Oryctolagus cuniculus: one gene and its partners. The protein of the gene in region 1 interacts with the protein of each later gene in a biochemical or structural test. Links are inferred from orthologs where the notes say so. Each region holds a gene or a part of one and is shown on either strand. Other genes may lie near its edges. The genes, in order: DSG1, PKP1 and JUP.

Evidence for each region.
Region 2: the proteins of DSG1 (region 1) and PKP1 form a complex in vitro, tested with the Homo sapiens proteins (2 studies listed by BioGRID and IntAct). The link is inferred for Oryctolagus cuniculus from reciprocal best matches to the Homo sapiens genes DSG1 and PKP1.
Region 3: the proteins of DSG1 (region 1) and JUP form a complex in vitro, tested with the Homo sapiens proteins (2 studies listed by BioGRID and IntAct). The link is inferred for Oryctolagus cuniculus from reciprocal best matches to the Homo sapiens genes DSG1 and JUP.

Annotation. Positions count from the first base shown.
Region 1 is NC_091441.1:46,347,083-46,350,726, reverse strand, and holds part of DSG1 (desmoglein-1), read left to right. Parts: intron 1-546; coding exon 547-702; intron 703-2,278; coding exon 2,279-2,423; intron 2,424-3,644. UniProt on the Homo sapiens protein: Component of intercellular desmosome junctions. Involved in the interaction of plaque proteins and intermediate filaments mediating cell-cell adhesion.
Region 2 is NC_091444.1:17,300,356-17,304,755, forward strand, and holds the start of PKP1 (plakophilin-1), read left to right. Parts: upstream 1-1,526; 5' UTR 1,527-1,743; coding exon 1,744-1,945; intron 1,946-4,400. UniProt on the Homo sapiens protein: A component of desmosome cell-cell junctions which are required for positive regulation of cellular adhesion.
Region 3 is NC_091448.1:20,934,381-20,938,024, forward strand, and holds part of JUP (junction plakoglobin), read left to right. Parts: intron 1-2,026; 5' UTR 2,027-2,034; coding exon 2,035-2,242; intron 2,243-3,644. UniProt on the Homo sapiens protein: Common junctional plaque protein. The membrane-associated plaques are architectural elements in an important strategic position to influence the arrangement and function of both the cytoskeleton and the cells within the tissue.

The DNA of each region.
Region 1 (3,644 bases):
AATGGAATGGGAGAGGGAGTGGGAGATGGGAGGGGTATGAGTGGGAGGGAAGTTATGGGGGGAAAAAGCCATTGTAATCTATTAACTGTACTTTGAAAATTTGTATTTACTAAATAAAAAAGAAATTAAAAAAAGAAATTCTTGAATCTAAAGATCAGAGTTAAATTATGACAACATTAGTAAAGTCCTTTAGAGGACAAGGTATTCCCTATTCTGGATCCAAGACTAGCACAAAGTGTGCAAATAATACAAGATGAAATTATAAATGTTGAATAAAAGAGTGATGACTGCATAGACTTAAATTTCCGAGGGTGGTATTATTTTTCTTGTTTGATAGCTACCATTGAAAATACTAGTTATACAATCACCATTGGAAATACTATAATTATTATACTTATCTAGGAAAGTAGTTTCTTATTTTCAACATTTCCCAGGTGACAATAGGTACAGCACTTTCACCAATTCTCACAAAAACAGCCGTCACACCCCAAATGCAGAACTCTTTATTTGCTCTCTGTGATGTTTGCAATTGTGTTCTTTCTGCAGATTCACTCAGACTGTGCTGCAAACCAGCAAGTAACATACCGCATCTCTGGAGTAGGAATTGATCAGCCACCTTATGGAATCTTCATCATTAATCAAAAAACCGGGGAAATTAATATAACATCCATAGTTGATCGAGAAGTCACCCCTTTTTTCATTGTAAGTGAATTTATTTCCATCTATATTCAGACGTAAGTTACTCTTGAGAAATCTGAAACTGAGCGCATTCTTGATTTGATTTCAGGAGTCAATAGTAGACATTTTTGACTCTTAATTCATGAGCATCCATAACCCAACAGAAACAAAGAGAAGATAAATAGAGAAAGGAGTGTTTTGCTGTTTCAGCAAAACTGCAAACCTCCAGTGGTCCCCATGACCAACTAGAGTGTTTGTTGGGAAAAACATTGCATTTTCTTTAATTCCCATTGAAATTGTTGTTGTTTTTTTTTTTTAACTTTAGTATCAAATAACAAATCCGGAGCTACTAAGGAATCTTTTCTGAGTGGACAAACTTTACTATAAATTCATGTTGCTTAAGTTCAGTTGAGCTCTGAATGTACTCTGGAAATTAATTTATTCTTAACTGAATCTCACTCCATTCTTTACAGGGGCTGTCACAAGGCTTAAGTATTCTCTCCCTCCAAACACACAAACTCATTCCACTTTAAGCAGCTGATCTTGGGCCCAACTACCTTAAGAAGGCTGAGACTATCCATCACAAATTCCCACAATTAATTCTCCTCAGCTCAGAATGCTTTTCAGTAAATCCAAATGCAGAACCAATTTTCAGCTTTTTCTCACGGCTTACCCTGAGCCATTGTCCCAGAATTACCTATTTCTTCAAGAATCTTGTTCCATCAAATTAGTCTGTTTCTCTCTTTTCTGCTTGCACTATTTCTACTTTCATGACCCTTGCTTCTTAATATTTGAAGTAAAAATAAAAATAATGATGGTCTTATTTGATCTTATAATTGCTTCTAGTAAAACTCCTCCATCTTTGGCTTAAAACACTTTCAAATAAGAATCTACTCTTGCTGCTTTCATTTCTGCTGCTGATCTGTGTTCCTGGATCTACTTTCATTCTTTAATCTTCAATTCCGTATCTATATTCCTATTTTGTCTTTCACAGTATTTGCCCGCAAACTATCTAAATTAGCAGGTCAGTTTAATAGTTCTCCTTGAGACCAATGTATTTTTATATACTACATATGTAAAATAGTGTATGCACTTAATGTATACTTGAAATATAAATAATTTGAACACAAAACCCATATAACAGCTACCTAGCTCAAGAATGATACATCTCTTGTATGCTCCCAAGAGATCCTCCTTTACCTAATTTTAAAACCCTCCCAACAGTTCCTATTCCTAATTTCAAAAGTTGTGTTTGTATCATTCTTTCTTTCCTTATATGACTCTCTTTGCTTGGAACACCTCACCAATTCCCAGTCCCACTTACTGAAATTCCTTGAGACCTACTTCAATCTTTACACCCTCTGACAGCTCATAGTATTTTGTGTTATTATTTTGTATATATTATTGTAACTTATAACGTTACCTTTTCTTAAAATATATTTTGTGTTTGTATTTGCCATCTCTTATTGATTATAAATGCTACTTATGCCTAATTTCTAGTAGCAAATAATAACATCTTTCTTTTAACTTCCCACAGTGCCTAGCAAGCTAGAACTCAATATGTGTTTCAACATCTAATTATTCCTCTTTTCTCTCCTAGATCTACTGCCGGGCTCTAAACTCGCAAGGCCAGGATCTGGAGCGGCCTCTGGAACTCCGAGTCAGGGTTTTGGATATAAATGACAACCCTCCAGTATTTTCAATGACTACATTTCTAGGACAAATAGAAGAAAATTCTAATGCAAGTAAGTAATATAAGTACCCTATCAAGCACTCTTCCAGATACTCAGGAAATTAGAAGTCAAACTATATAAAGGTGTACTTGTAGATGTGAAGATAAGTTACAGAACAGCATGCAGAATAGAAAGTCTTTCCTTCCTTAAAAAAATTATTTATTTTGAAATTCAGAGTTAAAGAGAAAGAGAGAGAGAGATCTTCCATCCTCTAGTTTACTCCTCGGATGGCCACAATAGCCAGCACTGGGTCAGTATGGAGCCAGGAGCCAAGAGCTTCATCTGGGTGTACCATATTGGTGGCAGAAGCCCAAACACTTGGACCATCTCTCGTTGCTTTTCCCAGGCCATTAGCAGGGCACTGGAATGGAAGTTGAGCAGCCAAATACAAACCAGGGCCCACATGAGATGCTGGCATCGAAGGCAGCAGCTTGACCTACTACACCACAGTGCCAGACCCAGAAAGCTTTCTCCTCAGCTACAGGGGCAGATCCAATCTGTTACACACAAGGAGCAACTCTGAACAATGAGGAGGTTTTTCTCATGTAATTCGTATCCTACCACTGTAGGAGATTCCCAACAGGAAATTCCCATTGTAGTTTACACAGGGGCAGCAGGGGCACTTGGATGAGAATTTAGCTTCCCAATGAGATTGCTGCCCATTCTTACCCACTTCTGCTCATACTGATTTTTTTCAACTTAACTACTTTAAAGTCACTCAATCATAGAAATCACTTCAATACAATCTATTTTGTCATCAAGAGCTTTTGCAAAACAGTATTTTCCCCTTCTTATATATGACCTAATAAGTATTGGCATCCATTGGGCGTTTGTCCCAGCACCTCCAGCAAATACTACAATCTAGGTGTTCAAATTCCTTATATAAAATGGCATAGTATTTGCATCCAAATTATACAAATCTCACCATATACTTTACATCATCTCTATATGACTTATAATATGTAATACCACGTGAATCTTCTATAAATAGTTGTTATACTGTATTGCTTAGAGAATAATGGCCATAAATGTATGTACATGTGCAGTAGTTTCAGTCCATAGTTAGGTTAAATTTAGTGATGCAAAACCTGAAAATGGAGAAGGCAGGTCATATAGATTTTGTTGGTTTTTTACTCATCATTGATTTTATGTGTTTTAAGTCATTATGCATCTAATTCTATTTGGTCCACTAGGCATATTTAAAGCCAGTTGTCCTAAGTGGTGCTAGCAGAG
Region 2 (4,400 bases), on another chromosome or scaffold:
GATCTTTCCTGGGATTCACTTCTCATTTCTGGTTGTCCCTAAGTGAAGTCTGCACCCCAGCTATGACATCAGCAGCAAGGGTGACCGCTGTGACAGCACCACACAGCAGGTGGGAACCGGCGAAGTGGGTCAGCGATGGGGCCTCACTCTACACAGAACAGCCAAGGGGTCCAGGAGCAGAAGTGCATCGGGGGCAGGCATTGTGGGGCAGCAGGACCCCACATCCCGTATCAGATGCCTCATCCAAGTCCTGGTTACTGTGAGCTCCCAATCCAGCTTCCTGCTACTGCACGTGAGAGGCAGCGGACGATGGCCCAAGTGCTTGGGCCCCTGTCACCTGTGTGGGAGACTAGGATGGAGTTCCTGGCTCCTGGCTTTGGCCTGACCCAGCCCTGGCTGTTGAAGGCATTTGAGGAGTGAACCAGCAGATGGAAGACCTCCTCTCTCTCTCTCTCTGCCTTTCAAATAAATAAATCTTTTTTTTTGAAAGAGAGAAGTGAGTCCCATGTGGCCAGCCCCTCTTGTGTCAGGAAGCAGGGCAGGTGTGATGCCTCTTAGGAGATGCCCAGCCCCTGTTGCACCCAAGTCCCTGCTGTGGGCTCCCTCCACACCCACGGTGGGTGCTCCATGAGAGGGGTCCCTGCCTGTGTGACCCCCGGGGCAGGAGTGCAGGCCAAGGAAGAGCACACCAAAGTCCTGGAACAGAAAGCCTCCTGTGGGAGAGGGATGTAGTTTGGAGGGGGCCAGGCAGCTTCAGGCTGTCCAGCCAGGATCTGGGTAGGATTCAGGTTCGCCTTAACTGATCCTAGATTAACCAACCTTCATCCACCCCTCCATTCACAAACAGCTCATGCCCAGGTCCCTGATATATAAGGGACTTTAAACACCTCCTAGAGATAAGTTTGAAAGCAAAATGATTTTGAAACCCATGCATAGATTGTTTTCATTGTATGCATTTTCTGTGAATTCTCTGTGTACCTGGGGCATTGGTTTAGGGACCAGGTTCTGCGTTTACAGAAGCCCCACTGTTCATGAAATGTTTTGCCTGGGCTCACGGGCATGCGGGAGAGTGGCCAGTGCCACTTGGTAGTTCCGTGTCCCACGTCTGGTCTTTCATAAGGCCTTCCCCCCTATCCCACTAGAGTAGCCCAGGCTGCCCCTTCTCCGTGCAGGAGCCGTCCGTGGGCTGGCCCCTGGCATGAGCTCCGCGCGGAGGGAGCTGCACCTGACTCCTCCGCTGTGCCTGGTCAAGAAAGACATCCGAAAAACAGGTCTCCCCGGCTCCTTGGTGCGCTTGCTCCAAGGGCCTGCAGAGGCAGAACTAGGGGCGTCTCCTGGGGCTTTCCACCGTCGTGGGGCGAGAAGGGAAAGGCGGAACGGCCGGCAGCGCGCCGCGGCCGGCACAGAGGACTGGCAGCCCTGCCCCCAAGAGCGCTGGGCCGGCAGCGGCAGCGCCCTGCGGCGGGCGTCCGGGGCGCGCGGCGGCGCGCAGCCGGCGAGTGGGAGGTGCAGGCTGGAGGTGGTATATCCTGTCTGGCGGAGGGCGGGCCTCGCCAGTGCCACAGAGGGACGAGCCGGGGGTAGAGGCGCCAGGAGCAGCTGCCGGGAGCCTCAAGCAGACCGCGCACTCTATGGCCATAGGGAGCCGCTGAGAGCCAGAAGAGCACGCTCCCGCCGCCCGCTGCGCCGCACGCCCTCCTGCGCCTCTCTGCCCGCCCGGCCCGGCCCGCGCCTCCCGCCACCATGAACCACTCGCCGCTCAAGACCGCCCTGGCATACGAGTGCTTCCAGGACCAGGACAACTCCACGCTGGCCCTGCCGTCCGACCAGAAGATGAAGACCGGCACGTCGGGCCGGCAGCGCGTGCAGGAGCAGGTGATGATGACGGTCAAGCGGCAGAAGTCCAAGTCTTCCCAGTCGTCCACCCTGAGCCACTCCAACCGAGGTAAGGCCCGGCGCCCGTGCGGCCCGCGGCAACCGAGGGGTCGCGGAGTCCCAGGGCTGTCGGCCCCGCGCGCGAGCAGGGCGTCCCCAGCCGTGGCGACCGGGGGCGCGGCGGGGCGCGGCAGGAGCTTTACTGCGCGCGAGTGGGCGCGGCTAGGTGGCTCGCCGGGACCGCGCCGGGAGCGTGTCTCCCGCCCGCCGCCGGGAGGCTGAGTCTGGGGCTGGAACCCTGGATCCGCACGGCTGGGGAGAGGGCGCTCGGCTCCCGGAGGGCTGTGTACTACCGGCACCTCCGTAGTTCCCAGGCTCTGGATGCGCCCCTGAACCTGTCCTGGGCCGCCAGCGCCGGAAGCTCGGGCTGAGCTGGGCGGGGTGAGGGGGTCACGGAGGCCTGAGTGTGGACTCAGGAGAGAGCAAGAGGGGATCGGAGGTGGCACCAGGAGCAGGGATGACTCGTGGGACCTCCCGCCGGGAAGAGGCAAGGCTGCCCCGCAGTGATCCAAGACAAGGGGCTCCCCAACAGCTAAGGCAGAACCCCCCTTCCCACAGATTCTCCCTGCGGCACTCGGCTCCAGGAGAGCCACGGGCTCATGGGGGAGAGTGGGAAGCGAGGGCGGCTGGGAGGGGGTCCCTCCAGGTCCACGGAGACCTGGGCTGAGCCGACCATGGCACTATAACAATCAGAGTGCCCGCCTCTGTGGGTGACATGGTCTCCCGGTGGGGGAGGCTTGGAGAAAGGCACAGGACCCCTGGAACTGAGGGGCAGTCCCAACAGGGGCGTTTGCGCGGAGCGTTTCGGCCAACACTTCTGCGCAAGAACTGCACGCAAGGCAGCAGGCCCCAGTGCGGACACTTGTTTCTTCCACTTCTTAATTTTACCAATTTTAAAATGTTAACAAAGACCCTACCCTTTGTGAACCAGAACAGGTCAGCCGTGACTAGCAGACAGGGAGGGGCAGTGGACAGTCAGAGGAGGAAGCAAAGGAGACAGACCCCTGCCCGTTCTCCCTGCCTCACACACACACACACACACACACACACGCATGTAGGCACAGCCACACACCTGCCAGCTCCTCTCTCGGCCTCTGCCTCCGTTCCTGAGCTGCCTCTGGGCCCAGCTGAGAGAAGCGAGAGGCAGATCTCCCACCCCCAGACCTAAAGGCCTGGCTGCTCGGTGCCCTTTGCCCCTGCCCCTGCCGGGGCTCTGGGCTCCTCTCCTTTGATTTCCTGTCTTGACAATTGCTGACGAGCCTCTCTGGGAAGCAGGTCTGGCTACAGTAGGGGGCATAGCTCAGTCTCACCTGCTGCCCCCTATGTGAGACCTGCCCACCCATTGCCACTCTTCCCACTCCACGGCAGCCTGAGCTCCTGGCTCACAGCGCCAGGAAAGTCCCAAATCTGCTCCACGTGCCCCGGATGTTTTGTCTTGTGCCCTCCGTGGGGATGCTGGCCGGACGTCCGAGCCAGGCCAGGCTGTTGCTGTTCTGTCCTTGGTCTTTGAGGGTGACGTCCATCTGATGGGGCCTGGATCCCTGCGTCCCTGGGTTGACTCTGATGCCTGCCCTTCCAGAAGCTGTCCAAGGACTGTGGATGTCGCTGTGTGTCCCCTACCTGCAGCCTCTGGGGAGGTTCCCAAGGGGTGTCAGTTTCCACAGCTGCACCCGAGCTGGAAGAGGCGGTTCGGTCGCTTGGCGCTGGTGTTTCTGGTTTATCCGGCTTTGTTTTCATCAGATTTCTCTGTCCTCCCCATCAGAAACGCCCAAGCCTCCCCTGCCTGCTCCGTGGCCATCTCCACTCACTCTGCCCCTCTCGCTCTTGCTTTCTGCGGCCGTCAGCCTGCTGGGTTCCTGCGAGGGAGGCGTTGGCAGCCGGGGAAGGGTCACGCCCCGGGCCATTTCCTGGGTCCCCCGGACAAAAGCGGATGCTCCTTTGGTCTCCTCCAAAAGCAAGGAGCTGGCTTCTCTGGAGTCCTTGACCCTCTTGGGCCCCCTGAATCCTACCCAGGGCCCCCCTTAATTAAGAAGCCTGGCCCCACGCACAGGTGCCCGTCCCCATGTTCCCGGCATCCTAGTGCCTTTCCTTTGACCCTGGCTGCAGCAGGGATCTGAGTCCTGCAGGCTGGAAGGACCCAAGTGGAAACAGCCTGGCCCCCAAAGGCCCATCTGCCCCCTGTCCCTCCCAGGCTGCTCCCCAAGTCCCGGGGAGGGGGCGGGGACCCTCAGGGGCCTGCTGTGGACCTGCCCACCACCTTGAACTGCCCTGTGTTTTCAGGGTGCCCCAGTGTGCAGCCAGGTGACTGTGTGGGAAGCCAGAGGAAGCCGAGGGGGACGTGACCACAGGCAGAAGTCTTTGCGGGGACACGTGGTCTCCCTGAGGGTGGGGAAAGCCCTCCAGGAGCCCTGGGGGTGGGGGGCGGTGCACTGCTCACCCAGCCCGAAAGGTGACGCTTCCCCACC
Region 3 (3,644 bases), on another chromosome or scaffold:
CCCATGAAGGCAGGCGGACCCCGCGCTCACCCGTGCTGACCTCTGACCTCTGACCTCCGACTGCTCCTCTGCCTCTTACCAGGGGCAGCTGTCCAGACCTCAGCGGCCCCTGGCTGCTGGGCCTGAGGGGCTTCATGGTGGGCAGCCTTGGCCATGGGAGTCCCTTCCGGGCTGGGGCTGGTCCCCGTGGTGTGGGGTGAGCCCTCTTCTCCGTGGCCCGGCTGAGAAGCCCCGGAGTTAGGTGCTGTCTGGTGAGGACGGGGTGCTTGTCACTGGGGCCGGAGAGGCCCAAGCGGAGCAGACGGCAGCGCAGCGAGGGTTAACCCGCTGTGTTTACTGCTCCGGTTTCCCCTCCCTTCTGCAGAGCCAGGCTGTCCAGTTTGCTGCCTTCCGCCTGCCCTGGGGTGGCTTCTGTGACAGCTCCCCCCTCCCAGGCCCTCCGCGCTCTCCTGGGATCCACCCGGCCCTGGGCAGGATGGGAAGGCAGGAGGAGCCCCCAATTTCCTGCCTTTGACCTTGTCTGCTGCCCAGGATGGGCTGTTGGCGGCGGCGGCGGTGGTTGGGGGGCGGTCAGGGCTCCTCGTGGAACAGCCGAGCTCGGGGAGTGGCTCAGCAGCTGCACGCAGCTGGCAGCCCAAGCCTGCCGTATGGTGCACTGGGCCTGCTTCTGTTTTCAGCCCGAAACTCTGAGTCACTCAGGGGGGCGGGGGGGGGGAGGAGGCAGCTGGGGGCTGGTGGGGCTCCTGCCTCTGCCTGTTGCAGGTGTGTTCCCAGCAGGGGAGGGGTGCGTGTGGCCATAAAAGGCAGCCAGACCTGGAGGGCCATTTGTCGTCCTCCTTGAGGGCGGCGCTGGGACGGTCACTGGGAGGACCTGTCCCCTGTGCTCTTTGTTCCTGGGTGCGGCCGGGTTGCGCTAGCCTCCCCGTCCCACCCCTGTCCTCGCCCTGTCCCCCTGTGGTCTCCCTGTCACAGTGGACAAGCATTGCTGGGTGGGCCAGCCTGGGGTCTGCCTGCTCTGCAGACCACCCTGGAATGTGCAAAGGCCACTCAGCCTGTGGCTGGGCCTGGCCCTGCCATTTCAAGCCTCAGTTTCCACATCTGTGAATGGTGTTTTGAGAATGGCTTGTGAGGATGGTGACATTCACAGGGGGCCCGACTCTGAGCAGATCCTCACAGGGTCCCAGCTTCTCGTGCCTTCCCCCAGCCACTGACCTCGGCAGGTCACTTCCCAAGACGGTGGGAGGTTTGCCTCCATGCCACCCAGCAGGGCCTGGCCTTCATTAACCTCAAGGGACCCCGAGTCTTTGAGGGAGGGCCGGGCTCCTGGTGGTGAGAGTGACGGCCTGAGCACCCTCCTGTGTGCCAGGAGGCGGTGTGACCCATTTCACAGAGGGGGACACTGAGGCTGCGCTGAGAATTGCCCGGTGGTCGGGTCGGGTCGGTGGCTCAGTCTGTGGCACTCAGTGCTGGGAGAAGCTCCCAGGGGCTGGGGTGCTGGGACCACTCGTGATCCTGCCCCACCTGCAGGAAAGTGACATCCAGGAATCTCTGAGAGAGCCTGGGGCGCCCGGGAGAAACCTGTCTGACTGCTTCCTGCCCCACCCAGTGTTCCTTCCAGCGCCTGGGTGCTGGGTGCTGGGTGCTGGGTGCGCTCCTTGCCTCCTCCGCAGCCTTTCCCAGGGAGCCCAAACGAGGAGCCGGGGAGGCCCGAGTGCCTTCTGCTCCCAGGAGGGTGGGTTGGGGCAGCGAAGTGAGGGAGTCCAGGCTTGGCCAGTGCCTGGCCCCGTACTGCCCACTCCCTGGTTCACCCACCCGGGGCTGGAGGTCAGAGATGCAAGCCAGGGGCACACACGCGACAGGTCCCCCAGGCGTCTCCTCACAGCAAGCCCCTCTGTGCCCTGTTGCTCTCTGCCCCCTTCTCCCCACTGCCTCATCCTGTGACCCACCAGAGCCCTGGGGCTATGGTGGGGGTGAGGGGAGACGGGCTGGGTGGCCAGCTCACGGGCTGCCCTCATCTGTGCCCCAGCAGCCACCATGGAGGTGATGAACCTGATGGAGCAGCCGATCAAGGTGACCGAGTGGCAGCAGACCTACACCTACGACTCGGGCATCCACTCGGGCGCCAACACCTGCGTGCCCTCCGTCAGCAGCAAGGGCATCATGGAGGAGGAGGAGGCCTGCGGGCGCCAGTACACCGTCAAGAAGTCAACCACCTACACCCAGGCTGGGCCCCAGAGCCAAGGTCGGGAGCTCTGGGGGCTGGCACGGGCCCTGGTGGGCGGGCCGAGTCAACAGAGGGAGGTTGGAGGGGGCTCCTCTCTGGGCACCTGTGTAGTCTGGGCGTGGAGGTACAGCTCCTGCTCATAGGGGCCCACCTAGTCAGAGGGAGGAGGCACACTAAGGGCGCCCCATCTGGGAGAAACACACACACTCTTTTCTGAGCCCTGCCCTCGGAAGGTCACCAGTCTGAAGGAGGAGGCTCAGTCCTCACCCTCTTTGAACCTCAGGGCATGATGGGAGGCACGCCCACTGCCCTCTGGGAGCCCGTGGATGGAGGAGGGGAGATACTTCCTGTTGCTCCAGGAGCCCTGGGTTTGATGGGAGAGGCAGGGCTGCAGCTCTGGGGAGCCCTTAGTCTGGTGGAGGCAGCGCAGTTGGTCCCTAGGGCTGGGACTCCTGTTGAGGGAAGGAGACCGACGGGCAGAGCCCACCTGCCCCATGGCCAGGGGCATGGTCAGGCTCCCCTGGGGGAGAGGAGTCGCTGGGCACAGGGACTGTCACCCACCATTCAGGACCGTGGGGTCCGTGGCTGGCTGCATCCTGACCACAGGCAGAGGCCGCTGGGCTCAGCAGCCCCAGGCCCTGTGTTGGCAGCGGACAGCAGAGCAGCCCAGCGGGAAAGCTGGGGAGACGGCGCCTCCTTCCCAGCGAATCAGTGCAGAGCCCCGGCCTCCCTCCCCGGGTGCACTGGGCACTTCTGTGGGACTCCTGGGCCCTCCCAGCACCCTGGCTCCCTCTGCCCGCTGCTGAGTGCCGCCGGTGGCTCTCGGGGGCCCCCGGCTGCCTGGTGGGAGCCTCGCTGCCATCAGGAGTGATGAGGGTGTAATTAGAAGTACAAGGTCGAAGTTTCAGGGTCGAAAAGCAACCTGGACTGTCTCATCCCTTCCCCTGCCTGGTGTTTTGTTTGTTTGTTTGTTTTTTTAAGATTTATTTTATTTATTTGAAAGAGTTACAGAGAAAGTAGAGACAGAGAGAGGTCTTCCATCTGCTGTTTCACTCGCCAAATGGCTGCAGCGGCTGGAGCTGAGCCGATCCAAAGCCAGGAGCCAGGAGCTTCTTTCGGGTCTCCCATACGGGTGCAGGGGCCCAAGGACTTGGGCCATCTTCTACTGCTTTCCCAGGCCATAGCAGAGAGCTGGATCAGAAGAGGAGCAGCTGGGACTAGAACTGATGCCCAAATGGTATGCCAGTGCTTCAGGCCAGGGTGTTAACCCGCTGCACCACAGCGCTGGTGGTTAAGGGGGCAGAGGGAGGTAGGGCCTTGTGCTCCCTGTCAGGCCTTGCTGCCTCTCTGTGCTGTTTTCCCATCTGTGAAGTGGGAAGACGAACGGTACAGACGTGCCTCATATCAAAGGGCGGCTGGC